Regions from separate parts of the Mus musculus genome. Here regions 2, 3 and 4 are each reported to be linked to region 1. The links are microRNA targets in miRTarBase. Many come from high-throughput screens and were not tested one by one. Region 1 holds a microRNA gene; each other region holds the end of a gene's coding sequence. Distances are between the middles of the regions.
What was found. Region 1 holds the annotated microRNA mmu-miR-30e-5p (UGUAAACAUCCUUGACUGGAAG, at 3,126-3,147, shown strand). A microRNA usually pairs through its seed, bases 2 to 8, with sites in the 3' UTR of a target mRNA and lowers its output. Matches are read on the target gene's strand: a 7mer-m8 pairs with bases 2 to 8, a 7mer-A1 pairs with bases 2 to 7 and ends in A, and an 8mer does both.

Region 2: miRTarBase lists Mt1 as a target of mmu-miR-30e-5p. Seed matches in the 3' UTR shown: 7mer-m8 at 5,785-5,791.
Region 3: the mRNA of Hsdl2 is a reported target of mmu-miR-30e-5p. Seed matches in the 3' UTR shown: 8mer at 1,412-1,419.
Region 4: miRTarBase lists Grb10 as a target of mmu-miR-30e-5p. Seed matches in the 3' UTR shown: 7mer-m8 at 1,626-1,632 and 7mer-A1 at 3,257-3,263.

What each region holds. Positions count from the first base shown.
Region 1 is chr4:120,768,687-120,775,806 of GRCm38, reverse strand. It overlaps Mir30e (microRNA 30e), which reads left to right and starts at 3,110; the gene lies at 3,110-3,201. Nfyc (nuclear transcription factor-Y gamma) reads left to right here. Exons shown (of 10, transcript NM_008692.4): 5 at 2,040-2,135; 6 at 6,908-7,081. It overlaps Mir30c-1 (microRNA 30c-1), which reads left to right and starts at 6,185; the gene lies at 6,185-6,273. Mir30f (microRNA 30f) reads right to left here and starts at 3,201; the gene lies at 3,110-3,201.
Region 2 is chr8:94,178,938-94,186,057 of GRCm38, reverse strand. It overlaps Mt1 (metallothionein 1), which reads right to left and starts at 6,969. Exons shown (of 3, transcript NM_013602.3): 1 at 6,720-6,969; 2 at 6,170-6,235; 3 at 5,731-5,956. The coding sequence starts at 6,747. The coding sequence ends at 5,865. It overlaps Gm39228 (a long non-coding RNA gene), which reads right to left and starts at 2,639. Exons shown (of 2, transcript XR_001778759.1): 1 at 2,394-2,639; 2 at 1,076-1,268.
Region 3 is chr4:59,616,646-59,623,765 of GRCm38, forward strand. It overlaps Hsdl2 (hydroxysteroid dehydrogenase like 2), which reads left to right. Exons shown (of 11, transcript NM_024255.3): 11 at 990-2,049. The coding sequence ends at 1,102. Among named protein-coding and RNA genes, the nearest start is that of E130308A19Rik, 6.0 kb to the right of the region's middle.
Region 4 is chr11:11,927,605-11,934,724 of GRCm38, reverse strand. It overlaps Grb10 (growth factor receptor bound protein 10), which reads left to right. Exons shown (of 17, transcript NM_010345.4): 16 at 433-526; 17 at 1,116-4,226. The coding sequence ends at 1,262. Among named protein-coding and RNA genes, the nearest start is that of Ddc, 33 kb to the right of the region's middle.

The DNA.
Region 1 (7,120 bases):
AATATTAAGGAAGGCACAATAAAGTGGGAGTGATAGTGTACACCTTTAATCCCAGCATTCCTGAGACACAAGGAACTCTGAGTTTGAGGCCAGCCTGGTCTACAGAGTGAGTTCCAGGACAGCCAGGGCTACACAGAGAAACCCTGTCTCAAAACAAAACGAAACATCAAACTAACAGATACATACTTGGGAAGTGAAAGCAGGTTCTGGAGTACAAGGTCATCCTTGGCATATTCTCTCTCTCTCTTCTTCTCCCTCTCCCCCTCCCCCCCCCCAAATTCAGGGCTAACCTGAGCTATAAGAAGGGTAGAAAAGATCAATTTAAGTGAATTGAAATGTTTGCCTTTGTGTGTGTTTGGAGGTACTTTATTTTTTTCCTTCATTTCATTCTTAGGGAGCTGTTTAGTTAGCATGAATAGGTGTCATTATCAAGAAGGCTATACTAGTGTGTTCATCTTAGATGAGTTCTGGCAGACTGTAAGATAATGCCCTTCTTCGTTAGGAGGGTTTATTATGAAGTTGGTAGTTGGCAAGAAGGGTGGATTGGAGATTTGCATTTCAGTGGCTTGGGACCATGACAGATACTAGGGAAGGAAAAAACAGAACATTTCCATGACTCCTTTTGGCCCTTTGCTTCAGATGTGGGATCGAGAGGTTGCTGAGGAGTTTTTGAGTTTGTTTGCTTTTCCTTGTTATGCTATTGTCAAGGATTTATAGTACGTACCTGTTTAGTTTTTCCCCAAATTCTGCTGTTAAAGTTTTACTTTAGCAGGCCACAGGATAACTAACCAGGGCTATACAGAGAAACCATGTCTTGAAAAACAAACAAATTGGGCTGGTGAGATGGCTCAGCAGTTAAGAGCACTGACTGCTCTTCTGGATGTTGAGTTCAAATCCCAACAACCACATGGTGGCTCACAACCATCCATAATGAGAAACAGATAATAATACTTTTAAAAAACAAAAAACAAAAACAACAAAAAAACCTATGGACTGGAGTGAGTGGGTCCCGGGAGCAAGTGGGGCCCAGGAGCAAGAGGAAGAAGGGAAGGGGGGAAATGAATGAATGAATGAATGAATGAATGAATAAATAAATAAAGTAAGAAAAACAAATTTATCATACCTCTCACTTCAGCCATAAAGTGATCTATTTTTAAATACATTTCAAAAATTACTTTCCCATATATACTTAACTATATCACTCACTTGAGCTTAGTGGTTTTGTTTTTGTTTTTTTAACCTTAAAACTTTCAATAAAGTACACAAATCATATGGGAGAAAAAGTGTTGATTTTTATTATTCAAAGGAAGGGGAATAATATCAGACTTGAAGAGAAAGTCCACTTGTGACATTCTTTTCAGCTCTGTGTTCACTACCTACCTATAGTAAATTCAGGCTTGAGTATTCAGGCTCAAATTCGGATTAAACTATTCATTAAGCAGTGCAGTTTTGATTTCTAAACTAAAACCCATAGGTAACATAAAAATCAAGCGACTGGATTATAAGTGCCTGTAAAAAGAAAAACAACAACAACAACAACAAACAGTGCTTAGGGCCTTTAAAAAGATCATACAAGTGAATGATGGGCTGACCTTGTGGACCACAGAATGCCAGTTGAGACTGCTGGCTTTGTCCTGAATTAGCCAGAGGATGGTGGTTTTACAACTTTATGGAAGCTTTGAAACCAGAACAAGCAGAAATAGTGGTGAGTAGGGCTCAGATGTCCTGGCCTAGAGCACGAGATATGTGTATCTCTTTCGTTGATTTCTGTCCAGCAAGTCTGATATAAATTGAGCTGTTCTTATTTTTAGCTCTAGACAAACCTAGAGATTTTTAGTACAGTCTAAAAGTCATCTCCTTGGGCTGGGGCATAGCTCAATGGTAGAATACCTGTCTAGCTTGTGTAAAGCTCTAGGTTTAATCCCAGACACTGGGACTAGGGGATAGGAGAGGATCATGTCCTTTTACTTGAAGGATAACAGCCAAAAGAACTAGATTCTTCCTAGGCCAGTTTTTAACTTTGTTTTTCTTTGTTACAGAGGAATGATATTGCCATGGCAATTACAAAATTTGATCAGTTCGACTTTCTCATCGATATTGTTCCAAGAGATGAACTGAAACCTCCAAAGCGCCAGGTGAGCTGGGAGGATTTGCTCAGCTGCCACCTCCAGGGCCTGGGCAAGATGCTCTCCGGAGCTCCTCCCTCCCTCCCACCCAAAGCATTTCTTGTTTGTGGTTCTCTTCCGTAGTCCAGATCATCCTCAGCATCTCCTTCTACTCATTTATGGGTACTTTTAACTCAGTGCCTCTGGGGTGGGGTTGCAGTGAGAGAACAAAGTTAAAAAGACTAGTCACAGATAGTGGGGTGAAGCTCAGTTCAGGATTTCTTCATCTAAAATAAAAGCTTTTTCAGCCAGTCAGTTTTCAGATTCTAAGAAACAACCTCTTTGTGCATAGTGATCAGATTGGAGCCAGTGGCTTTTATTTTCTTACTCTATGCTGTGTCTCTGTAGTGTGATGACTCTACCCATCATCCACTGAGTCAGAACCTATGACCCCATGACCCCAGGAATCAATAATTAAAGTTCCCTAGATGCTTTGGTGTCCAGTGAAGTTTTAGAACCACCATTTACATTTTTCTTTTTAATTACAAGAACTAAGTGTCTGCCCTTCTTCTGCCTGTTCATCTCCAAAGATCACACCATTTGTTTTGTTCAGCACTTGGGTGCATATAACTTAGTTGTGATTGTGATAGACCCCAGTCCTATAGAGCTCATTGTTTCAGGCACGCAGTTTGCATGATTCACTAGGTTTAGTGTAATATGCCTCAGAGAAGTAAAGCCATACCATGTCCTGCTTGTTTTATTTTTGTTCATAAAATATAAGTGTTTTTAACTAATTATTTTGTAGTATACTGTTTAGAGTCATTTAATGACAACCATTCTCCCCATGTTGACCTGTACAAATAACCAGTCAGAAAACCTGTTGGAGAAGTGGGCATCCTAATTGACATTAATTCTGACCCTGCATGAGGGTTTTTGGGTTAGCAAGCCCTGGGTCACCTCCTTATGGGAGCAGGTTGTGCCTCACTGAAGCTCTTTATTTTTCTGGGCAGTCTTTGCTACTGTAAACATCCTTGACTGGAAGCTGTAAGGTGTTGAGAGGAGCTTTCAGTCGGATGTTTACAGCGGCAGGCTGCCACAGTCGTCCCCGGCTGCGCTCATCGGCTTTGAGACATTGCAGGTTTGTGCCCATGAACTTGTCTCCTTTTCTTGGGTTACTTCCTTTCTCTCTGAGAAGTCACAAGAACTCAGACTGTCTCTCTTCGTTTGGAGCTGATAATACCATGAGCCTGTTTTCCTTATTGGATTTTTGCTCCCATGTATCCACCAGGAGTTTCCTTTAAAGACAAGGTGGTAAGATCTGTGATGCAGTCAGGCATTGCTCTTATTGTACTGATTGTTCACTATGGGCTGCCTGCTGAATAGATGACTAAAGAGAAAGTTATTATCCTATACCAGTGGTTCTCAGCCTTCCTAATGCTGCACCATTTAATACAGTTCCTCATGTTGTAATAACCTCCCAACAATAAAATTTTTTTCATTGCTATTTCATAACTGTAATTTGCTACTGTTATGAATTTTAATGCAACTATCTGTTTTTCAGTAGTCTTAGGTGATCCATGTGAAAGGATCTTTCCATCCCACAAAGGGGTCACAACCCACAGGTTGAGAGCTGCTGACCTATACCTTCCTCCAAAGTTGTTTGTTCTTCTGGGTCTGTCAGGGTGTTAGATTTGCTGGTGGTCTACCCCATCTCCCTCTTTTGTTCTTTGGTTTGGTTTGGATTTTTGAGATAGGCTCTCCCTGTGTATCCCTGGCTAGACTAGACTGTGTAGACCAGGTTGTTCTGGAACTCGGAGAGATCTATCTGCTTCTGCCTCCTGAGTGCTGGGATTCAAGGCATGGACCACTATACTTAGTCCATCTCCCTTTAAAAGGTATACAGCAAGAACACTCCTTTAGCTGCCTGGTTTTAGTTCTTTGTAGGTGTTTGAGCTATTGATTGGCATCCTATTCAGGACAGCTGCTGCCTGGCATTTAAAAGGTTGAGATTGCTGAAAGCTGGCCTGAAATTCTAAGATAGCATTTTTTAATTCTCTGTAGACATGAAGTTTTCCCAAGCTCCAAATTGGCTGGCACCTCCTAAAGTCCTTTAAAAGTGCCTACTCTCCAAAACACACCCTCTGAAGGAGGCAGCAGTTCACCCTGCCACTAAAGCAAATGTATTTTTTCCCCTAGTCTGGAGCTGGCTGCTCATCAGTGTAGTGATGACCCTGTGCTGTGATACTGTTTGTTCACTGTCACTGTTTTTCAGTCTCAGCACTGGAGAAGCCACTGTTAGTGTGGAGCAGGTACCCTTCTGTACTGAGTGTTAGCATGGAGCAGGTACCTTTCTGTACTGACCTATTCGGTCAGGTGTTTTCCTAGGGCTTGGTGCTGATCCATCTGGAAAGGGAGACACTGGATTATGAGGCTTCTCAGAGATGATTTGGAGTCTCCCTCTCTCTTTTTTGCCATGGAAGTAAGTAGATTGTCTGCAAGTAGATGGTAGTTGAGGGTTGACTTCTCCCCGACTAAGCTATGAGTTGAAAGTTCCTTGCTCATTGAAATGTCATTATCTTTTCACCCATTTCTTTAAATCAAGCATCATCATTTCCTGCTGGCTTGATCTCCATTTGCAGAATGAGTGCTTCATAAAGCAGAAGAACCTTACTTGTGCCTCCTTCCATCACAGCAATTTGAAAATAGCCATGCTTGTCCTGACAACAGTGTTCTAGAAACTGTCTAAGTCATTATTACCTGAGAGGATGCAGTAGAAAACATGGGAGAGGCTACCTGCCTGCCTGAGAGCTTTTGCTAAAGCACTATTTTGGGTTCTGGCAGAAGTATTTAAAGAATTTGCTTTTTATCTTGGAAAAACAAAACAAAACCCTTGTTCAGTGTTGTAATTATGGACACCTAGAGCTGATCACAGGTCAAAGGCAGGAAGGGACCGTGTCCCCAGCTGCTCTGTGTTCTCAGTTCTTAATACTCTCATAAGCTAAGAGTGTTTCCACTGTTAAGTCCGGCCTTCCTATTTCTAAAATAGGAAGGGGAGATCTCAGTGAGGGGAAAAATAGACACTGAACTTATTTCCACAGCTTTGGAAAGAGCAGTTGACCTCAGTTTTGTGGTCTAAAGGAGTATTGGTATGTATCCCTGCCAAGACATGGTTGCCAGCTGACTTTTGCTTAAAATGGAAAAGAAACCAAAATTGAAATGGACCTGGCTTTGACTTGAAGTTGAGAAAATAAAAGGAGCTCTATATATATATTTTTTTTACCTCTGCTGAAGGTTGAGGACTGAAACTGTGGGTTTGAAGCATAGACTACATTATCGCAGAAGGTCAGCTTATGCTTAAAGACTTGCTTGGATAACCAGAACGTTAGGAACAGTTTTGTGTTCTGGGTTGATGACCATTGGGGAACCTTGTTATGTTGCGATTGAAATGTCTCAGAGGCTAGTTATTCATGATCCCAGTTACAGGATTAACAGGCAGGCACTTAGCCTGGTACTACAAGGACAACTTTTCCCACACACTTGGTCACAGATCTGAGGTACTCTTTTGTAGAGTTATTGGTTATAGCTGTTCAGTTTAGAAGAATTAATACTGCAGTCAGTATGCATTCAGAAAAGTACTTCTCTCTCTCCAGCTTTCTCTTTGTCTGATAAGTAGACTCATCAGTCAGGTAGTATATACCAGTACCTGTATGGAACTACCAGGGACAGTAGCTAGCAAGCAAGCAAGTGAGAGGCAGTAGTACTTACATCTGAGCAGAACTGACAGTTTGTCATGCAAGTACAAAATCTTGCAATAAGTGTCCATGACAGTGTCATGGAAGTGCACTTTAGAGAGCATTGAGCAGGTGAGAAGGTCTCAGTACCTTGAGAAGTATCTCGTTTTTGAAACCTGACAGGGAAAGCTCTGAATAAGGAAGTGAATAAAATTAGCTAATATTCTTACTCAGCCCATGTGGTCGAATATATTTGTTGTCCTGGACGGGGACACTATGTGTCACAGGTCACTCGGGATGAGACGCTGATCTCTAGGTGGTCAGAGACCTACCAACCCCTGGGCTGTAACCATGTTGTAGTGTGTGTAAACATCCTACACTCTCAGCTGTGAGCTCAAGGTGGCTGGGAGAGGGTTGTTTACTCCTTCTGCCATGGAAAACGTCAGCTGAAGAACAATCTCTTCACCCGACAGATCGGACAGAATGCTGCCTCCCTAGTCAGCCAAAGCAGCGCCCCAGCGGAGAGCTATCATCAGGTCCCCTGGGTTGCACTTCTGTGGCTAAGTACAACTAGACTTAGATGCTCTGCTGGGGTAGACACATCAGTGATGAACATAGAGCTCTCAGTGTGTTGTGAAAAAAAAGCTGGAAAAGCCTAGGAAAAGCTGTTTCCTCTCTCCCTGATAGATCCCTTCTGGGACTTGGGGATATTAAGTTTGGGTAGCATCTTCCATCGCAGGCTTTGACAGAATCTACTGACAAGCTCTGCTGGTGCATGGTTGTTGCTTATGGTAATTATTTGCCTGTTTGCAACTCATCACACAATGGATGATTACTCGGGACTTCAGAAAATTGGCTGTATGTTCTGTGAAGCCTATAGAAACTGTTATTTTTAGTTTGATTTAGCACAACTGGTCTCCAAATTCCACTTCTCCTTTGACTGCAAATGTGGAGAGCTCAGCATTCGGCAGGCAACTGCACATAGCCTGTTTCAGGGAAGAGTGGAAATTCACTGTGGCGGTTGCTGAGTCGGTTTTTTTCCCCTTACCTGCTTCTCCTTCCACCCCACAGGAGGAGGTACGCCAGTCTGTGACTCCTGCGGAGCCTGTCCAGTACTACTTCACGCTGGCTCAGCAGCCCACTGCTGTCCAGGTCCAGGGACAGCAGCAAGGCCAGCAGACCACCAGTTCTACGACCACCATCCAGCCTGGACAGATCATCATTGCACAGCCTCAGCAGGGTCAGGTCTGTGAGTGGCAGGGAGTACCCACCTAGTAACACAGT
Region 2 (7,120 bases), not on the chromosome of region 1:
AAATTCATCCTGACTCGAGGAGGCACTCCCACAGAAAAGGTGCTAGTCACGACCCGGAGCTCTTCCTGACTGTCTAGTGTCCTTTCAGGATTCCTACACATTGGTATCTCCCTGTGTGGATGTCTGACCTACTGCTGCTCACAGTGTGGGGCCCTCATCTTGGAGAAGGTGTGTGCAATGCACACCCTCGGGGAACATTTTTTTTTTCTAACCACAATTTCCATGTCTATAACCTGGTGAGAACCAAAGCAGGGTAAGAGAATCAGCTCAGCCGGGCGTGATGGTGCACGCCTTTAATCCTAACGGGAGGCAGAGGCAGAGGGATCTCTGTGAGTTCGAGGCCAGCCTGGTCTAATTGAGTCCAGGATAGCCAGAGCTACATAGAGAAATCCTGTCTCAAAAAATAAACAAACGGGCTGGTGAGATGGCTCAGTGCGTAAGAGCACCCGACTGCTCTTCCGAAGGTCCAGAGTTCAAATCCCAGCAACCACATGGTGGCTCACAACCATCCGTAACAAGATCTGACTTCTGGAGTGTCTGAATAATATATAATATTTATAATCAATAAATAAATCTTTTTTTTAAAGTAAACAAACAAAAATAAAAACAAAAGAAGAGAGAGAGGGAGTCAGAGCTTGAAAGTAGGAGCTAGAGATCACTGCAGTGTGAACATGCTCATGGAGGATGGACGGAACAGGTCTGTCTCCCCACCAACACACAAAGCCCCAATATGCCTTACCTGTGTAGTTTGTGTAGGGGTGGGCCTACAACATTTGAGTCCACAGTCAAGGTCTCTGTGTTTATGTTCAATCCCTCATCTCAGTCCTTTATCCCAGGCCACACACAGAAAACCAGATCAGAGGCTGGTGAGATGGTTCAACAGGTAAGAGCACCCGACTGCTCTTCTGAAGGTCCTGAGTTCAAATCCCGGCAACCACATGGTGGCTCACAACCATCCGTAACGAGCTCTGACTCCCTCTTCTGGTGTGTCTGAAGACAGCTACAGTGTACTTACATATAATAAAGAAATAAATAAATCAAAAAAAAGAAAAAAAAGAAAAAAAAGAAAACCAGATCAGAATGAAGTCATCAAATTTAATTGTCCCGCTCCAGCCAAAGAAGATCTGGGGGTGGAGGCTGAGCTTGAGAGGGAAGCCACAGCTGGCTCTGGGTGTGCAACTCTGGGGACATTGGCTATCCTTTAACCCCTGAAGACCTTTGTCTTTGGCTGGAGGCACACTTACAGCCTTCGCAGCTGCAGGAGCCACCTGTGGGAAGGAAAGAGAAGCAGTGAGCTAGAGACACAGGCAAGAGCCAGGGCAGGGTCCCTGAGGGCAGCATTGCGGTGCATGTCTGGGCCCGCCATTCACCCCCCTGTCCTGTGCGGCACACAGAAGCATGCCATGGGGCTACTCCACCCTACTGCTGGGAAGTACAGTCACTCTCAGATGTTCTTCCCACAGGAAAGAAAAAGTGAGGCGCTCCAGAGCGGCCAGTGCACGGACGCAACAGGTTACCGCCCAGTTCTTTCTGCCTTGAAATGAGAACCTTGAGAGAAGGAGGAGCTGAAACTTAGTAACTTCCGAGGTGCGGTGAAGCTGCTGAGGTGGGGGTGGGGTGGGGGGACGGACAAACTAGCAAAGGGCTCCTTAGAAAGAGAACCAGCAGTGTGCAGTAAGGAGTCCACTTCATCCAGAAATGAAAACAACTCTGGCCAGGTGTGGCAAGCATGCGTCTAGCAGGCCTGCCCTTCTCCCCCATTCCCTCTGTCTTGCTGAAAAAACTGTGAGATCACATTCCTAAAGCTCACCACCAAGGTCTGTTCTCTTATGTGGCCAATCCCTCCTCCCGAGGCTGACTACCAAGGTCCAGCTATCAAAGTGTTGAAGTGCGGCAATCAAAAGCCCCCTTTGGCTCACCTAATTAACACGCCCAGTTAAAATTAAACACCCCCTCCTAACACAGAGTTTCCCCTTGGTGGTATATAAATCACCACTTTCCTGTGTGCCAAGTCTGCCTCCTCTCGACCCAGAGACAGTATTCTGTTTCTCCAGGACAAATATTCCTGCCCACCCCAATCTGTCCCCCTTCCCTTTCTCTCTAGTCCTCTATCTCCCGTCTTTGTCCCATATTCCCTGCCCTCTGGCCCTCTGGGCCAAATAACTTCACCATGTCGGTGCTGAGACCTTAGTCTTGGGGGTGTTCCGAGCTAATACTTTTTATTTCAGAAAAAAACGTGTGCTCTGAAATCCTTTATGAGGGACACAGGAGCAGAGGAGCAGCTGGGGGCCATTTCCACTGCAAATGACTTGAGGTTCAAAGAAATGAACAAAAAATCAGCTAGGCTTCTGAGAGGCACACAGAAACCAAGGAACCTGCCTGCTGCTGCTCACTTTATAGTTAAAGCCCCACTCTGCGTGCAAAGGTCCTGCCAACACTTTGCACCCATGACTCTCAGCTGGCTTGCCGCTGGCTGGGTTGTGCAGAAATGTACACTTCCGCTCCCTGAACAATTTGAAGAGGTTGAACCCCCCGCACCCCGGGAGGCTTAATAGGTAATAGGATAGAAGACTGGCAGCTTCTAAGTGGGTTCTGGGCTGTGTGCAATAGCCCCGCCCTCTTCGCAGCACCAGCGCACTCGTCCTTGCCTTAGTTCTACCAAGTGTAGCAGAGCTGAGCGCAAGCTTCCCACCAGGAGCAGTCTCCGCGTGCAGAGGGTGCACCCAGCAGGGGGCGTTTCTTCTGCGCCCGCCACTGGGCGGCCCGCAGGAGGCGGGGTTTTGCGCTCAGCTCTACGCTGCTTGCAATCACCCTGATTTTTTTTTTTTTGGCCAGTTCTAGCAAGTTTGCCGGTCATTCCTCCCTATTAAAGTTCCAAGAACCTAGTCCTGGCTGTTTCCCACCCTCAACTCTTCACTATGGTAGTCACCTTGCTCTTCCCGTCAAAGTGAGAGTAAGGTTAGTGTGTGTAGGTGTCGCTTCTGTGACATTGCCAGTCTTTGTCTCCACCTCCTTCCCTTGTACCTAGAAAGAGGACAGACACGGGACTTTGTCTCTGCTTTCCATTGTTTATACAAATAGGTGCGGGTTTTGGCCTAAAACTATCCTAGGCTCTCCATAGCCAGTGAACCCTCCCTAGTCCACTGGGCAGTTTTTGACACAAAGTACTTCATTTAAAGTTGGAAGACTACAAACGTGGGAAAGGTCCTCAATCCCTGGTCACAGTACTGGAATTTGAAAGAGCAAATTCATCCTGACTTTGCAAGAAACTGTCACCTAAGCCACAACAGTGGAGGCCCTCCCAAGGCGGGATATGGTGTGCACAGGGGCCATCGGGGCCATCACTGACTTCCTTCGGGATGTCTGGGCCAGCGCAGCTGCAGGTGTGTGCACACGGGACACTGCAGTGAGCAGCTGTGTGCAGAGGTTAATCAATTTCCCCCTGAGTTCATATATTTGTCTTCTGTCGAATCTTCAAAAAAGTGTACTTTGTGTTCTCTGAGCTTTTTTTTTTTCCTTCGTACAAATAGTATCATTTACTCCAATGTCACATTGTTGGGTGTGGCTGAGCTGAGTGCTGAGGGCGTTCCCTGCAGGGGTGTTTAAGGTGCCTAGAAAATGCATCAGGTGTAAGGTGTGTAGAAAATAAAAGCAGTAAGGGGTTAGGGTCTATCCTTAGAGTGCTTGCTGCCCACCATTGAGGCTCACTGTAGTGTGGATTCTTAGCACCTACATAACTAGCCCGGAGGGGCAGTCCAAATCTAAGCCCAGTGCTGAGCGGACAGAGGTGGATCTCCAGGGTTTGCTAGACATCCAGTCTAGCAGAAATACAGTTCTAAGTCCTGCTAAAGATCACGTCTCACGGGCTAGAGAGATGGCTCAGTGGGCAAGAGCACTGACTACTCTTCAGAAGGTCCTGAGTCCAAATCTCAGCAACCACATGGTGGTTCACAACCATCTGTAATGAGGTCTGACTCCCTCTTCTGGAGTGTCAGAAGACAGCTACAGGGTACTTACATATGATAAATAAATAAATAAATCTTAAAAAAAAAAAAGATCACTTCTCACAAAGTAAGGTGGGATGTAATGAAGATCTCAGGCCTCCACGTTCACCACAAACACTTGTGTGTGTGTGTGTGTGTGTGTGTGTGTGTGCATGGGCAGGCACATATACACACAAATTAAAAATCAAAGTATGTAGAACATCTGGGGACCAAACATCTGGGAGTTGTCATACTCTGTGACACTTTTTTTTTTTCCGAGACAGGGTTTCCTCTGTGTAGTCTTGGCTGGCCTCGAACTCAAGAAATCTGCCTGCCTCTGCTTCCTAAGTGCTGGGATTAAAGGAGTGTGCCACCACGCCCGGCGACACTTATTTTTGACATAAGGTCACATGTAGCCCAGGCTACCCTCTAAAACTTAATACCTGGGGCTGGTGAGATGGCTCAGTGGGTAAGAGCACCCGACTGCTCTTCCGAAGGTCAGGAGTTCAAATCCCAGCAACCACATGGTGGCTCACAACCATCCGTAACAAGATCTGACTCCCTCTTCTGGAGTGTCTGAAGACAGCTACAGTGTACTTACATATAATAAATAAATAAATCTTTAAAAAAAAAAAAAAAACTTAATACCTAGCCTTGAATTCCTGGCCTTCCTGCTGCTACATCTCAAATATCTTGATTACAGGCAGGACCCACGCTCTTTATCACTTTTTTTTCCATCTTTTTTTTTTTGGATATTTTCTTCGTTTATATTTCAAATGCTATCCCAAAAGTCCCCTATACCCCACCCCTACCCCCACCCCGCTCCCCTACCCACTCACTCCCACTTCTTGGCCCTGGCTTTCCCCTGAACTGGGGCATATAGTTTGCTAGACCAAGGGTCCTCTCTTCCCAGTGATGGCCAACTAGGCCATCTTCTGCTACATACGAAGCTAGATACACGAGTTCAGGGGGTACTGGTTAGTTCAGATTGCTGTTCCACCTATAGGGTTGCAGATCCCTTTAGCTCCTTGGGTACTTTCTCTAGCTCCTCCATTGGGGGCCCTGTGTTCCATCCAATAGCTGACTGTGAGCATCCACTTCTGTGTTTGCTGGGCACTGGCAAAGCCTCACAGGAGACAGCTTTATCAGGGTCCTTTCAGCAAAATCTTGATGGCATATGCAATAGTGTCTGCATTTGGTGGCTGAATAGGAGATGGCCTGGTGACACAGTCACTCCTGTAATCCCAGGTACTTGGGAAGCTGAGGCAGGAGAATCAAAAACTCAAGGTCAGACTGGACTGCAGAATGAGTTCTAGGACAAGGTAAGCAACTTGTGTCAAAACAGCCAAGAAAGCCCCTCTGGAATCTAGTTCAGTGTTAGTCCCTGCCTAGCATACGAGACACCCTATGTTAATTTTCATACCCACCTCCTTATACCCAACAATGTGAGAGGAAACCAGAATCCAAAGAGAATATAAATGATAAGATTTTCTGTGCTTCCAGGATGGGACATCAAGTCTTCCAGGACCACCCTCCCTCCCTCCCTTCCCCTAACACAAGACCTGACCAGGCACACAGCTGTTTTCCATGAGGAAGCTTATGGGATAGCTTGGCTTTACCCAAAGACATTACCCCTCTGTGAGGGCCAGAGGCGGGAGGTAAAGGCACGAGGGGGTCCAAAACCAGATCCCCAGACTATCAAGTCACCCCAGTTTCTTATTGCCAAACCACACCAAGAAAACCAGAGTTAGACTCAAACAGGCTTTTATTATTCACGTACTCGGTAGAAAACGGGGGTTTAGTAAACAGGGTGGAACTGTATAGGAAGACGCTGGGTTGGTCCGATACTATTTACACGTGGTGGCAGCGCTGTTCGTCACATCAGGCACAGCACGTGCACTTGTCCGCGGCGCCTTTGCAGACACAGCCCTGGGCACATTTGGAGCAGCCCACGGGACAGCAGGAGCAGCAGCCTAGAAAGGAGGAGGAAGAGGTCAGCCTGGCTGAAGACCTCTGCTTCCTGTCCCCAACAGAGAAGACCTCGGTTTTTTTAAATAGTTCTCTGTATAGTTCTGTCCCCGAGACAATACAATGGCCTCCGGGAAGCAAAGGACATTTCTCAGAGCCAGTTTTGTAGGAGTTCCCCGCCCCTAGCCTTAGCCGCCACCCAAGGTGTCCCAACTCACTCTTCTTGCAGGAGGTGCACTTGCAGTTCTTGCAGGCGCAGGAGCTGGTGCAAGTGCAGGAGCCGCCTGGGGAGGAGAAAGAAGACAGCATGAGGGAGGCAGCATTACAGCAGTGGCCAACACCACGAGTCCCGGCTCAGTTCACTAAGTCCTCCTCGGAGCTGCAGGGAGCCTAGCCCCACTTTTCTCCTCACAGGTTAAGTCAGGGATTATGTCTTTGAGTCCCAAGACATAAAGGTCCTTCACCTCTTTCTTAATTCAAGCAATTCACAGTAAGTTTAGTAATGCCTGGGACTCAACCCAGATGTCCCCACTAACTGGGTGATCAGGAACCGGACATTTGCGCGTCTAAATCCTAGCCCCAACCCCGCCAAAGGACCCGTTCGACAATACTCGTAACTAATGAAGGCTTTTGCAAGAGCGGATTCTAGAAAGAACCGGAATGAATCGCCAACTAAAGGTGCCTATTCCCGCCAAGCCTCTACAACTCGGGGATTCCGCTCTGCGGTCCCAACTTGGTATTCTAAAGACCAAGGATCGGGAGTCTTACCGGTGGAGCAGGAGCAGTTGGGGTCCATTCCGAGATCTGGTGAAGCTGGAGCTACGGAGTAAGTGAGGAGAAGGTACTCAGGACGTTGAAGTCGTGGTGACGCTTAGAGGACAGCCTGCCCTCTTTATAGTCGTTGGACGAGTCCGGGCGCAAAGGGTTTGCACCCAGCAGGCGGTTGCTCCAGCCCACGCATAGTCACGCGCCCCGCGTCCTTGGCAGAGCCGAGCGCACTTTTCGGGCGGAGTGCAGAGCTCCCTGGAGCGCCAGTGTGCACAGCGGGACCGCCCCTTTGGCACGACTGGCTCGGATAGGACGACCCATGTGACGTGTGGAACATCATGTCCCTATAGTGCTTTCCCCGATATTACGGCCTATCGCTGCTCTGGAGTTTACGAGAACTC
Region 3 (7,120 bases), 61 Mb from region 1:
TTCCTCACCTTCCAGCTTTAGACAGGGTGTCTTTGTTGTTCCTTACTGTATATGCCATGCTAATTTCCACAAGCTTCTGTGGAAAGCTGTCTCTGCTTCCCATCTCAAAGTAGGACCACTAGAATTGCAGATGTGCACTGTAGTGCCCAGCTTTTCTTGGGCTGGATTTGCACTAAGGTCCTAACACTTGTGCAGCAAGTACTTTACCACTGAGCCATCTCCCCAGCTCCTAACTACTATATACTTAATGATCTTAGTTGTTTGTCTTGACACAATGTCACTGTTAAACTCAGGCTGGCTTTGAACTTATGATCCTCCTGACTCAGCCCCCAAGTGCTGGGGTTGGTTACAAGATGTATGCTGCCATGCCCAGCTTAATAATCATTTGTAAATATTTTGTGCATTTTACACCATTTGATTTCTTGAATTTAAACTTGAAATAGTTAAAGAGTTAATGAACTATAACAGATTGGAAATTAAATAACATAGTATTTGTCCACCAGAATTTATTGGGGGCTATTTCTTTAGTACTGTAACCAGCATATGTATAAATGTAGCATCTTTAGCTTCTTGCCATTACCGTCTGCTGACTGTTTCTTTTGGTTTTTTTGTTTTGTTTTGTTTTTTGTTTTTTTCAAGACAGGATTTCTCTGTATAGCCCTGGCTGTCCTGGAACTCACTTTGTAGACCAGGCTGGCCTCAAACTCAGAAATCTACCTGCCTCTGCCTCCCGAGTGCTGGGATTAAAGGCGTGCGCCACCACACCTGGCTCTGCTGACTGTTTCTCATGTTATCTTTTGTATTGTAAGGTATTGTTGACATCTAAGTCAGGAAGTGAGATTCCCTAGATAGTAATATGAAGTGCTGTGTAGACGTCTCTGTGCTCTGGAATTTATGTGACTCTGGGAATTCTTCCTAGAATGCATGTTCTTCAAGTAGCATATTCCTTAGGTCACTAATGCTTTCACTGTCTTTATTTTTCGTTTTAGGGAAATTAAAGCCAACCATGGCATTTATGTCAGGAAAGTTGAAGATTAAAGGAAACATAGCCCTAGCAATCAAATTGGAGAAGCTAATGACCCAGATGAATTCTAGACTATGAAGGACAAGAAGTAACAATGTTGACTCTCCTCAGAAGTAAAAAGCTCAGCAGTTAGAAATCTGTTGTCTCCCCCACTGTCATGTAAGGACATATAAGTTTGTTCTAGAAAGAAGTAGAATTTCTGTATCTATAAGATTTGAAACTGTAACTAAAACAACTAACCAATCACATACAAGTTTAATTAAGTGACATCCTAATATATTGTGGTTTTTCCAAGTTTTCCTCTCTATGCCTTTATTTCATTCATTGCTTTCTTGCAGAAAAGTATGTATCATGAACAACCAATTGGTATCAAGCAATAAAATTAGCTGTTTACAAAACTTCTTATGTAAAATGAAGCTACTTTATCTCCACAAAGACAGTTGCATGAGGGTTGGGTGAAGAACTGCAGTATCATTTCTTTCTGTAACCCTGACTGGCTTGGGACTCACCCTGTAGACTAGGCTGGGCACGAACTCACAGAGGTCTGCCTGCCCCTGCCTCCTGAGTGCTTTGACTGAAGGTGTGCTCCACCACCACCTGGCGGTTTTTTTTTTTTTAAGGACTTTTATTTTGCCTGGCTGTGTTTTATGAACTTCAGTGCATAATACTTGCAGGCGAAATCTTGTTTAACTTATTATAAGCATTTATACTATTGATACTATTCTAGATATCTTAAAATTTTCAGCTTTTCTTTTTTTTCCAAATGGGTTAACCCAACTGGCCTTAAACTGGGGTCAGTCCTCCTGCCTCAGTTTTCTTAGTGCTATTATTATAGACATGAGACACAATGCCTGGCTTTATTGAGCTTTCAAGTACTAACATATAGAAATATAATTAATTTTGTGAGTATGCCTTATGCCCTACAGTAGTCAGATCTACTCATTACCTTTAGCAGCTTCTTAAAAACAGATTCTTTAAATCGTGTTATCTTCAAATAAAGATGAATTTATCTTTTTTCCATTCTATGTGCCTTTTATTTCTTTTTCTCGTCATATTGCACTGACCCACCAATATAATGGTGAATACTAATGGTAATAATGGATTCCCTAACCTGAGGAATAAAGGAAGACCTGTCTCAAATATCAAACTATACAAAACAAAATCAATTTTATTTAATACATAAATCACTATATAATTTATTCACTCAATGCCCCCCCCCCCCAGAATTAAGCAACCATCATCCCAATGAAATAGAACCTTTAAAAAATTTACCTTTTCCTCTCCCTCCATCCCTTCTTTCTTTTGTATCCTGTGTGTAGTCAGGGAACCACTTGTGGGGAGTGAGTTCTCACCTTCCACCATGTGGGTTCTCAGGATTGAACTAAGTTCATCAAGCCTTCACATTCTGAGCCATCTTGCAGGCCCCGATCAGAATGTTTTATCTCCCTTCCCCAGACATGCACTTTAGTATATGTCCCCCATCAACAAAAGATTTCAGTCCTATGCAACCCCCTCTTGCTCCTGACTTGCCTGTTCTGGACTTATGTGGAGAGTCACACTTCATCACTTTCCTAATAGGCTTCCTTCACTTGGTGTAATATTCTCCAGGTTTATTCATGCCATATAGACATAAAATTTTGTTTGATACATTTGCATCAAACATGCATTTGGGGGCTTAATGTAAGTTACTTGAAATCCGTTTTGCCCTGTCACCTTTGGCTGACTCAACCCTTTCCTTCTCAAACAGGAATTCATGCCACGTATAATGGCCCTGCTAAAATTCTGCTATAGTGGTTAAAGATATAGTCCACTTGTTTTTTATACCCATGACTCAAACCAAACATACTTGACAGCTACTAACCACAGTTAAAACAAAAACAACAAACCTAATAAAACACCATCATAGAGTCTTGGGGAAAAAAATCTCTTTGCCAATGTTTTCAAAACCCACCCAATCTGTAACCTGTCAATGGACCTAATGGACAAACACGGTACCAAAGATTTCTTTTTTAAAATTATTTAATTTTATGTTTAGGAGTGCTGTATATATGTGTACCATGTGTGTTCTTGGTACCCATGGAGGTCAGAAGAGGGCATCAGGTTCCTGAAACAAGTTACAGATGGTTGTGAGTCACCATGTGGGTGCTGGAACGAATCCTAGGTCTTTTTTTTATAAAAGATTTATTTATTATCATATGTACACTGTAGTTGTTTTTAGACACATCAGAAGAGGGTGTCAGGTCTCATTACAGATGGTTGTAAGCCACCATGTGGTTGCTGGGTTTTGAACTCAGGACCTTTGGAAGAGCAGTCAGTGCTCTTAACCGCTGAGCCATCTCACTAGCCCAATCCTAGGTCTTTTGCAAGAACAATAAGAGCTTTCACCACTAAGCCCCAATTTCATCTCTTTCTGCTTCTTTCTTGCGCACTAGCTGACTGTCCTGCTCTCTCCAGATGTGTTAGCCTCCTGTCAGCACCTCCAATCTTCTTGAGATCTGAGAAGAATAAGTTCGTGCTTTATTCATTTTGGATCCTGAATCTAACTTTTGGTCATTGCTCTAGAAAGTCACTATTTTGGATTATAGTCAAAACAAACAAACAAACAAAAAAAACCCACAACAAAATCACAACGAACATTACTTAATTCCTGTACTGTCAACTAAATTATACAGATTGATGGACATTTGAGCTTTTCAAGTGGGGCTATTATGAATAATGCTGCCTGTGAACGTTTAAATTATTTGTGCTGATATATTTTTATTTCTCTTGGTTATATACCTAGAAGTTCTGCAGTGTTGTAATTTTAACCTTTGGCAGAATTGCCATTTCAAAAGTGCATAGCACCCTTCAATCCCATTAGCATCAAAGTAGAGTTCTCCTACCCACATCCTTATCAGAGAGTGTTTCCTGCCTTTGTCATATTCATCTTAGTGGATGCACACTTGCCATCTGTCTTAGGGATTTACTGCTGTGAACAGACACCATGGCCAAGGCAACTCTTATAAAAAAAACATTTAATTTGGGCTACCTTGCATGTTCAAAGGTTCAGTCCATTATCATCAAGGTGGGAGCATGGCAGCGTACAGGCAGGCATGGTGCAGGAGGATTTGAGAGTTCTACATCTTCTTTTGAAGGATACTAGCAGAATACTGGCTTCCAGACAGCTAGGACTAAGGTATTAACACCATGTCCATAGTGGCATACCTACCCCAACAAGGACACACCTCCAAATAGTGCCACTCCTTGACCCAAGCATATTCAAATTACCACATTCCACTCCCTGGCCCCCATAGGCTTGTTCAAACACATGAAGTTATGGGGACCATATCTAGCCATAGCATAATAAAAAAGTACATTTAGTTTAACTTCCAAAGTCCCCATAATCTATAGAAGTCTCAACAACGTTAAAAGTCCAGATTTCAAAGTCTTTTGAGATCCATCCAATCACTTATCAGTAATCCCAAAAGCAATACAGCTAGGCAAACTCTGCATCTTTATGTCTGATGTCAAAGCAGTCTTCAAATCTCCACTTCTTTTTCATCTTTGTTGACTAGAACAAAGTTCTCTCTCCTGGGCTATTTCTACTTCCTGATAGCAGCTTTCCTCAGCAGATACACCACAGCTCTGTCATCCAACATCTTGGGATCTCCAAGGCAACTTCAGTGTTACAGCTTCTTGTTCCAATGTCTGGGATTCACACACGATCTTCTGGGATCCTCCAAAGGACTTGGGTCACATCTCCAGCACTCTTGTAGCACTATAGGCTCTGGTTGGCTCTACCCCACCACTGCTGCTGTTCTTGGTGGTCATCCTATAGTACTGGCATCTCCACTACTCTGGGGTCTTCTCCTGCAACTAGGCTTTACCAATAGCCTCTCAGAGGCTCTCTTCATGCTTTGCATGACTTCTTCAGTCCTGGGCCATCAATTACAATTGAAGCTGCACCTTCTCCAGTGGCCTTCCCTGGCCTCTCACAGTGCCAAGCCTCAGTAGCTCTTTATGACCCCTTTCATACCTTCAAAACCAGTACCACCTGGGTGACTCTTACACATTACCAAGTCCAACTGCAGCATGAGGTACAGCCTTGGCTACCTCTGGGGCACAGCTTTTTTTGTGATCTCAGAAAATACTTCCCAAAAGATTTCACCTCAGTGAAATGTCACCTCTCTTCTTAATCACTGCTTTCTTAGCTCCAGCTAACCAGCACCAATTGTCCCAGTAGTCCCTTCTATTCTGAACTCTAAAGCCAGGGCCACATGTCTGAAGCTGCCAGGTTCTGCTGCTTGCTGGGGCTGGAATACACCCCCCCCCCTTATTCTATTGCCAGCTTTCAGTTTTCCAACTCCTTCACTGCCTAAACTTGGCTGTCAGAGAACTTGCTCTGTAGATTGTCCTTGAACTCAGAGATCTGCATGGCTTTGTCTCCTGAATGCTAGGATTAAAGGCGTGTACTTAAGCTTTTCTTCACCTAGAACTTGCTCTGTCCCAAACTGACCTTGAATTCAGAGATTTGCTTGGCTTTGTTTCCTGAAATTAAAGTTGTGTACAACCCTGCCTGAACCTAATTTTAGCTGGGTGGGATCATGCCCCAAAGTCCTACTCCCTTAATCTGTTATCTTCTAGAACATAGGAGTCAGCTCCTTTCTACTTCCTAGTGTCCCTTTAATACTTAAACCATATGTATTTTTCCTTTCTCAGCTTGCTCCTTTTCATTAAAATGTTCTTCATAAGAGTGAACTTTAGTAATCTTGTGACAGAATTTATAACAAGCTGTTTTGAGGCTTCCTTTTTCAAAGTAGTTAATCTAAATCTCTTCACCTTAGTCTCAGGCAGACTCTTTGGCCAATGGCAGAAAGCAGTCACATTCTTCGCCAAAATACTAGAAAAACAGTCTCTATTCCACATACTGAAATTCTTCACTGAAACTTCATTGCCTTGTCTGCCCAGTTTAAATCACTCTCAGCAACAAAGTCTTCCATATTCCTACTAGGATAGCCTGTTAAGCCCCACTTAAAGGATTCCACTGCTTTCCAAATTCAAAGTTCCCAAATCCACATTCTGCCAAACAAAGGCATAATCAGGCCTATAAGAGCACTACCCCACTCCTGGTACCAACTTTTGTCTTAGTTAGGGTTTTATCACTGTGAATAGACACCATGATCATGGTAACTCTTATAAGGATAACATTTAATTGGGGCTGGCTTACAGGTTCAGAGGTTCAGTCCATCATCATCAAGGTAGGGACATAGCAGCCCTGGCAGGCATGGAACAGGAGGATCTGAGAGTTCTACATCTTCAGCTGAAGGTTGCTAAGAGAAGACTGGCTTCCAGGCAGCTAGGACTAAGGTATTAAAACCCACAGTGACAAACCTACCCCAACAAGGCCACATCTTCAAATAGTGCCTCTCTTTGGGCCAAGCATATTCAAACTACCCTATTGTGGTCTTGGTTTATATGTCCCCAGTGGGCTCTATTTGGTTATTTTAAAATCCTAATGTATACTAAAATCCTCCATTCTGTCATGTATGACTTGATCATATTAATCACAGCTATTCTAAGGGTCTATTGACCAGGACATCTGGGACATATTTATATGTTTGGACTGTCGTCTTTTTCATTTTGGATTTTTTTTCTTATCATATGTGATGCCAGATACTACGTATTAAATTTTATTTTTAAAAGCTCCTCCACCAAAGATTTATTTTTCGCAGACAGAATATTGGAACTTCACCAGCCAGGGATGGAAGTAGTTCAAGGCTTAGTTGTAGGCCCTGGTGGAACCAATTTAATCTGATTTTGCTCAAGACAATCTGGTTCATCAACAGCCTCAGTTGAGGCACTGAGGTGTTTAACCAGGACCACCTTTCTATTTAATAACTCTTTCCAGTAGTGTCTTATTTAGAGTTACTACTGCTGTGATGAAACACCAAAAGCAAGATGGGGAGTAAGGCACTTAAATTTGGCTTATATTTCCACATCACAGTTTATTATTAAAGGAAGTCAGGACAGGAACTCACACAGGGCAGGAATCCGGAGGCAGGAGCTGATGCAGATGTCATGGAGGAGTGATACTTTCTGGCTTGCTCCCCGTGGCTT
Region 4 (7,120 bases), not on the chromosome of region 1:
TTCCACTCCTCCCTTGTGTGCTCAGCATCTTCTCTAGGGAAAAGCTTCTCTTGTTGGATAATTTTGGCAATTCCCTGTCAATCCTTGAACACTTTCTGACATTCTGACATTAGAGAACACAGAACATTTCAGTTCCATCTTTATTGTTTCCCTGCCTCACCAGAATCAGCCATATTCTCAGGGCCCAGGTTCCTTTCAATGTTGGATGACATTCTAGACTACTTTCTGGGTGCTGCATCCCCTGTAGCCACTGAAAGTCACTCAGGTACTAGCACTCATGTGCCAGAACACCAAAGTATCATGGCTGCAAGCCCATTTTTCTCAGTCACTTCCAGCTGGTGTACACATGCATACATGGATGCTCATATATAGACAATTCATTTTAGATTTTAAAAGGAATCAATTATAAATTGCTGGTTTTCCACTCCCCAGGCTGTTCCTCCTTCGTGACAGCCAGAGTAATCCAAAGGCGTTCGTACTGACACTGTGCCATCACCAGAAGATTAAAAACTTCCAGATCTTACCTGTAAGTACCGATGCCTTCAAATCAGCCCGCCCTTCCGAGTCCCCTGGTTCTGTTTCTAGTGCAGTTTTCAATTTAAACATAAGCTTATAGATAAGCACCAATGGCCTCAAGTCTGGGGAAGCAGTTCTCAAGAGACTCCAAGAGGGAATGTTGCTGAGGCTGCTGTTGCCCTGAGACCTCAGCTTATGTGTAGCTAGCTAGGTAGGAATATCTAGGTCTCCTGGACTCTTACAGCAGATTTGACATTGGCTCTTTTCAGCACAGGAATGGTCTGACCTGAGTAGATATGTCTCGTGGCTGCTCAGAATTCTCAGAATTCTAAAAGGAACTTGCTGATGGCTAAGTGGCTCCCAAGGGGAGCTTATGTTCTTCTGCCTACTTGGTCATTGGATCACGAAACAGTTCTACCCTTGGTCCATTCCACTGTGCCATTAGAGAACACCTTTCTCATCCCCTTTGCTTTCCTTTTTAAAAGCATGGAAATTATGAGACTGGCCGATATAGTCTGACTCTCCCTGCCTGCAGGGCCACAGGTTGTCCCCCAAGGTCACACTGTCTAACATGGCAAATGTTTTCTGTGTCCCCACAGTGCGAGGATGATGGGCAGACCTTCTTCACTCTGGATGATGGGAACACCAAGTTCTCCGATCTGATCCAGCTGGTCGACTTCTACCAGCTCAACAAAGGTGTTCTGCCCTGCAAGCTGAAACACCACTGCATCCGCGTGGCCTTATGACCTCCTTGCCCACTCACAGAGGCTGGAGGCAGCGACACTGGAACGGAGAAGAGAGATCTGCATGAGGGTGAGAACACACACCTACTCCCACCCAAGGACTCAGAACAACATGGCTTTTTGATCGGTACCAACCGACCTACATCAATTAGTTATTGGACTTCACAAAGATTTGCCGCTGTGGATCAAACAGGACCACCTCCCTCTGCGTCAGCCATTTAAAATTGGGGGAGGGAAGAGATCCAGTGCAAGTGTGGGAAGAAACTGGAATGACGATTTTGATTAGGCCACGTAGGGTGAAAACCGCAGAAAAATGATTGGAAATGAACTCTTGCCCTGGAATAACCTTGACAATTCAAACCGCGATGTTTACTTTTTGTATTGATCACTTTTTTGCACTCCTTCTTCGTTGTCGATGTTGTACTCAGCCTATGGTAGGAGAGGATGTGGCTTTGCAACTCAGATCAGACAAAGAATTTTTGAATTGGCAGGCTTTAGCCTACAAATGGGTCCCCCAAGTTTTCTAGATAACATCCTGCTCTCTGCAGGTTGCGGCAGTGTGGGTTTGGCTCCAGTCCTTCCCATTATACTTGAAAAGCTTTTTTTTTTTTTTTAAATAAAATAATAAGATAAAAGGTGACAACCGCAGTTGACACCTAGCATGTTTTGTGGACGCAGTCAAGCTGCCACAGTCTGGTCATCGTTGTTGTTGTGCTGACGTCTGGTCATGTATTATTAGTGTGTCTCGTTCTCCACGGTGCTGGAGACCTCATTACTTTGGAAAACTCACTGTTCCCCAGCACAGCACAGCTGCATGACCTCAGCTTCAGACTGATGTCAGCCAGCCTTCTTGGAACACATTGCTATTCATTGTGGATGCCACACAGTCCATCTGGGGTGCCCTGTGCCTCCCATTTTCACAGCCGCCCACTGTTGTAGAATAATCGCTGCCTTTACCCTCTGCAGTACCCTCAGTCATTTCACTTCTCCCACAGGGGTGGGGTAGGGGTGGGGTTAAAGGATCGAAAGAGAAAAAAACGCCAACTTGTTGGCCTTGTGCTCTGTCACTCTGAGCATCTATGGTGATAAAGAGAAGGAAACGCTGCAGAGGCACAAGCATAAGCTGGCTTTGAGTCTTTGAAAGCTTGATGGCCTCTGCACCCTACTGAAAACCCCCTAAGCCAGCAGGAGCAGGGTATGCAGAGGCTTTGCCTCTGCTGGCTTAGGGTGAGAAGTACCTCACAATGGATGTGAACATTGGACAGATTTTAGGAGCATGATGTTTGCCTCCTCCGAGAGAGAGGAGTCAGAGAGAGAGAGGAGTCAGAAGGTGGCCGGAGTTATCATTGGGTCCCCTGAGCTCCATGAAGGACCCTCTGTTGTCCCCTTGATGATTTATCAGGCATGAGAGTAGCAGACAGGATTGCCTTGAGAAACACACAGACAACAACGGTGGTGAACACATTTCCCTTTCTTGATACCACCCAGAAAGTCTGCTACATACCTGAGTTAGCCACTAGATTGCCTGTCCCGACTCATTGAAGTGCTCCCCAGGGAGCCACTTCTGATTTGCCATGGTTGACAGCATAGTGGAAGATAGATATGACAGCGCTTTGTAAAGCAGGCCAGTGGCAAGCTGGCCCACAGTAGAGAAACACTGTAGTTCACAGACCATGCAACCGTGTTTCCACGAGATGTTATTACAACAAATGAAGAATTTTTTTCCTTTTTTTTCATTTTAATCTTTTTTGACTTTTTTTTAGTTAACCATTTTTTATGCATAAGTGCTCAAATGCATTTCTCTTTCTTTCGAAACTAGTTAATCGTTAAGTTGACAATGAGAGAATTCTCAAGTTCATACCTGGCAGCAGGCTCCCACTGATCTTCCCCTTACAGACAGATAACAGACATTTCAGTTTTACCGTGCTCATTTCTTTTTGCTGACTTAAGGTCAGAACTTTTACAGACAACAAACAACCCTAGGGTTTCTTTTTCCAGTTTACACAGACCGGTCCCCACAGTGCAGAATCCATTTCTCTTTCGTCTCAACAGTAGACAACTAGGATGTGGATCTCATATTTATAAGTATGCATTTTATTTAAGAGGAAGTATAGGCTTGACTCTGGTTCACAATTTCGTACGTAGCTGGTTTGACGTAGAACTTTGTACTTCCCTTGCCGAAGTGAATTGTTGAAGGCTGCAACCCACCCACCTTGAGTGTAGCAGACTTCAGTGGCCCCGAGATCGCCAGCCCTTTGCACAGGCAGCTGGGAATTCCACCTGAAACAGCTGGTCCCTAGGTTAGCGGGTTCCCAGCCCCCCTAATCAGAGACTGAAGGACAATTGACTTTTATTTTTGTATTTAATTGACATGAATGTAAAGGGGACAGCTCAGGGTTGTTTTGGAGCCTGTTTGACTTTGTAATCTCTGCCTGTGATTTTCTTTTCTAAATGACGACTCCGTGTAACCACCTGGACTAAGTTGAGAAGGAAACTGCCAAATGCTTTGGGTTTTTAGGGTTTTAATAGGTAGACTCTGTTCTATTATTAGGTGTTAAGAGTTTCCAAACGTGTTTTCTTTTTTCTTTTATTGTTTGCTTAAACTTTGAAGAAATATGTGCCTCAGCTTAGATGTTTTGTCTTCCCCTTTCTGCACTTAAATACCTGACAGCCTGTTCGATCGCTGTGCCTCCGAGGGCGCTTCTAGCTCATCGTAGATTTGTGATGTCATAGTGCAAACTGCAGTGACCGGTAAAATGACCTGACATGTAACCGTTTTCAGGGAATGCAGAGGGTGTTAACTAATAGACAAAACCTTTATCCCGCGTGCTTTGCTTCACCTTGTGCTATATAGCTCTTTGGCTCGTGAACCTAATTGTAAACTTTCAGGTATTTTTGTACAAATAAGGGACTGATGTTCTGTTTCTTGTTATTAGAAATAAACATTAATAAAGCGTTCTTGGTGTCCTGTCGTGTTTTTTTTTTAATGCTTGCGCCGATATCTATAAACTGGGCTTGGGGCGGGTAAGTTCAGAGGGTAGGAGTGCCTGCCTGCTGCGAGCACAGGAGAAACAGATTTCAGATCCCCAGTACCTGTGGAAATTAGACAAGGTGTGGAGCCAGTTCAGTTATGCCAAGACAACCTTGGCCAAGAATCACAGGCCTGGGCTGGAGAGAGATGGCTCAGATGGTAAAATGCTTGCAACACAAGATAAAGATATGTGTTACAACCGGGTAGTGGTGGCACATGCTTTTAACCCCAGCACTCAGGTGGCAGAGGCAGGCAGATCTCTGACTTTGAGTAGAAATCTGTCTTGGAGAAAGAAAGGAAGGAAGGAAGGAAGGAAGGAAGGAAGGAAGAAAGAAAGAAAGAAAGAAAGAAAGAAAGAAAGAAAGAAAGAAAGAAAGAAAGAAAGAAAGAAAGAAAGAAAGAAAGAAAGAAAGAGAAAGAAAGAAAAGAAAGGGGAAAAAAGCCAGAGCCCCCAGGGAAACCAGTGGTAGCACACACTCATAATCCCAGTGCTAAGGACAAAACCTGACCTCGGGGCTCTCTGGCACCCAGCCTAATTGATAAGCTCTGAATCAAATCAAAGAACCTGTCTCACAAAACAAAGTGGATAGCACCTGGGGAATGACACCCAAGGTTAAACCGGTGGCCTCCACACAAGCAGGAGCATTCTGTTCATGGACACCTCTATACCCAGGACTATGTACAGGCATGCATAAGGAATCACAGAACTTGGAGGGTTTCAGAGAATCAGATATCCACGAAGTTTAATAAACGCCTCCAAAATCAGACCTTCACATTTGACAAGGTATTAAAACATCAAGGATCTGGGCTATTCTTGCCAAATCAGAAACTAAGGGGTCTTATAAAGACAGCTCAGCAATTAAGGGCACCAGCTGCTCTTCTAGTTTGGTCCTAGCATTGACAAGACAACTCACAACCACCTGTTAATTATAGTTCCAGGAAATCAGATGCCCTTTTCTGGTCATCTCGGGCACCAGGCATATAAATGGCACACGTATATGGGAACAAAACATTTATACACACAAACTAGAATATACTACTATTGAAAGGAATTGGCAAATTAAGAAAATGGACACGCTGGCCATTGCTATCATAAGCCCTCACTGGAGGGCTCTCTGTCTTCATGCCTCCTTCACAACCTACCCCTGTCACCTGCAATGTTTGGAAGACTAGTTCATGTAGTTTTAGAGCAGGAGTCCCTAGACTATGGAGATGATTCAGTGGACAAAATGCTTGCTGTGTCAGCATGGGGAACCAGAGTTTGGGTCTCCAGAACTTAAATAAAAGTCAGGCAAGTGTGGCAGCTCTGCAGTCCTCTCATGTAAGGCAACAGTCTGTACGACAAGCAGGCTAGCCAAACTAGCCAGAACTGGTGAGCCTTGGGTTCTGTGAGAGGCACAGTTTCAGCACATTTAAGTAGAGGGTCTCCAAAGAAGACAACCGATGTCTACTTCAGGCCTTGACATGCACACCACACACACTGTGAATCTGTCCCCTCACAAAAACAAGCAAATCTCAGAGGCAGGGCAATGATGCACCACACCTCCATCCCATCATGACACAGCACTGCTTCACAGGTCATAGTGAGAGCCAAGGCCGTGATGGCATGGCCAGACCACAGTTCCAAATGTACTTTGGTCACTCCAAATAGGCCAACAGAAGCCAAACAAAACAGCACATGTGGGAAGAAGAAAAAAATGCTCTGAGCACAATGTGAACCTTGATATCACTGCTTCATAAGTGGTTAAAGTATATCTTCTGTGCCAAGCAGTGCATATAACTATAATCCTTTAATTCCAACACTTGGGCGGCAGAGGCAGGAGGACAGTTCTGTCAAGACTGACCTTAGCAATAGAGGCCTGAAGCCAGCTTAGACTATCTGAGACTCTGTTTCAAAGGTTATCTTTTCAGTGATCATGAAAACACTAAAGTAGAAGATTCAATCACACGACTTTGTACATTTGCACTTAGACCTCACTCTTAAAGATTGGGAACAGGGCTGGTGAGATGACTCAGCGGTTAAGAGCACTGACTGCTCTTCTGAAGGTCCTGAGTTCAAATTCCAGCAACCACATGGTGGCTCACAACCATCCATAATGAGATCTGACTCCTTCTTCTGGTGTGTCTAAAGACAGCTACAGTGTACTATACTAACATAATAAATAAATCTTTAAAAAAAAAGATCGGGAACAGGATGGAAAATGCTTCATGGACACTATCAGGTTTGTCTCAGTGTGTTTTCTATTATGGTGATAAAACACCATAACCAAAGTCAACTCGGGGAGTTAAGGGTTTATTTCATTTTACAGTTGTCCATTTGGAAGGGAAGCCAGGGCAGGAACTCAAGGCAGGAACTGACTCAAAAGCCATGGAGGACCTCCTCACTGTCTAACTTCTAGCTCGCTCAGTGTGCATCCTTACCTGTGCCAGAACCACTTGCCCATAGACGGCACTGCCTGCATCAATCAAGAAGACACCACACAGCCCACAGACTGGCCTACAGTGTGACAGAGGCGTTTTCTTAATTTGAAGTTCCTTCTCGGATGACTTTGTATCAAGTTGACAAAACATTAGCCAATTGACTTTCTTTTCACCTTGATACACAACCTCATCACTATTAAACCATAAACTTTCCTTTCTTGTTTGTCCCTAAGGATCCATGTTAATATCACAAAATAAAACAAAGCAGAACTTTATAAAGTCTGTAACACTGTAAAAGTCCAAGTTCTATTAAAAAAAAAAAGTCTCCTTGAAAGTCCAAACTCCTGGGGCTACAGAGATGGCTCAGTGGTTAAAGGCACTGACTACACCTTCCAAAGGACTGAAGTAC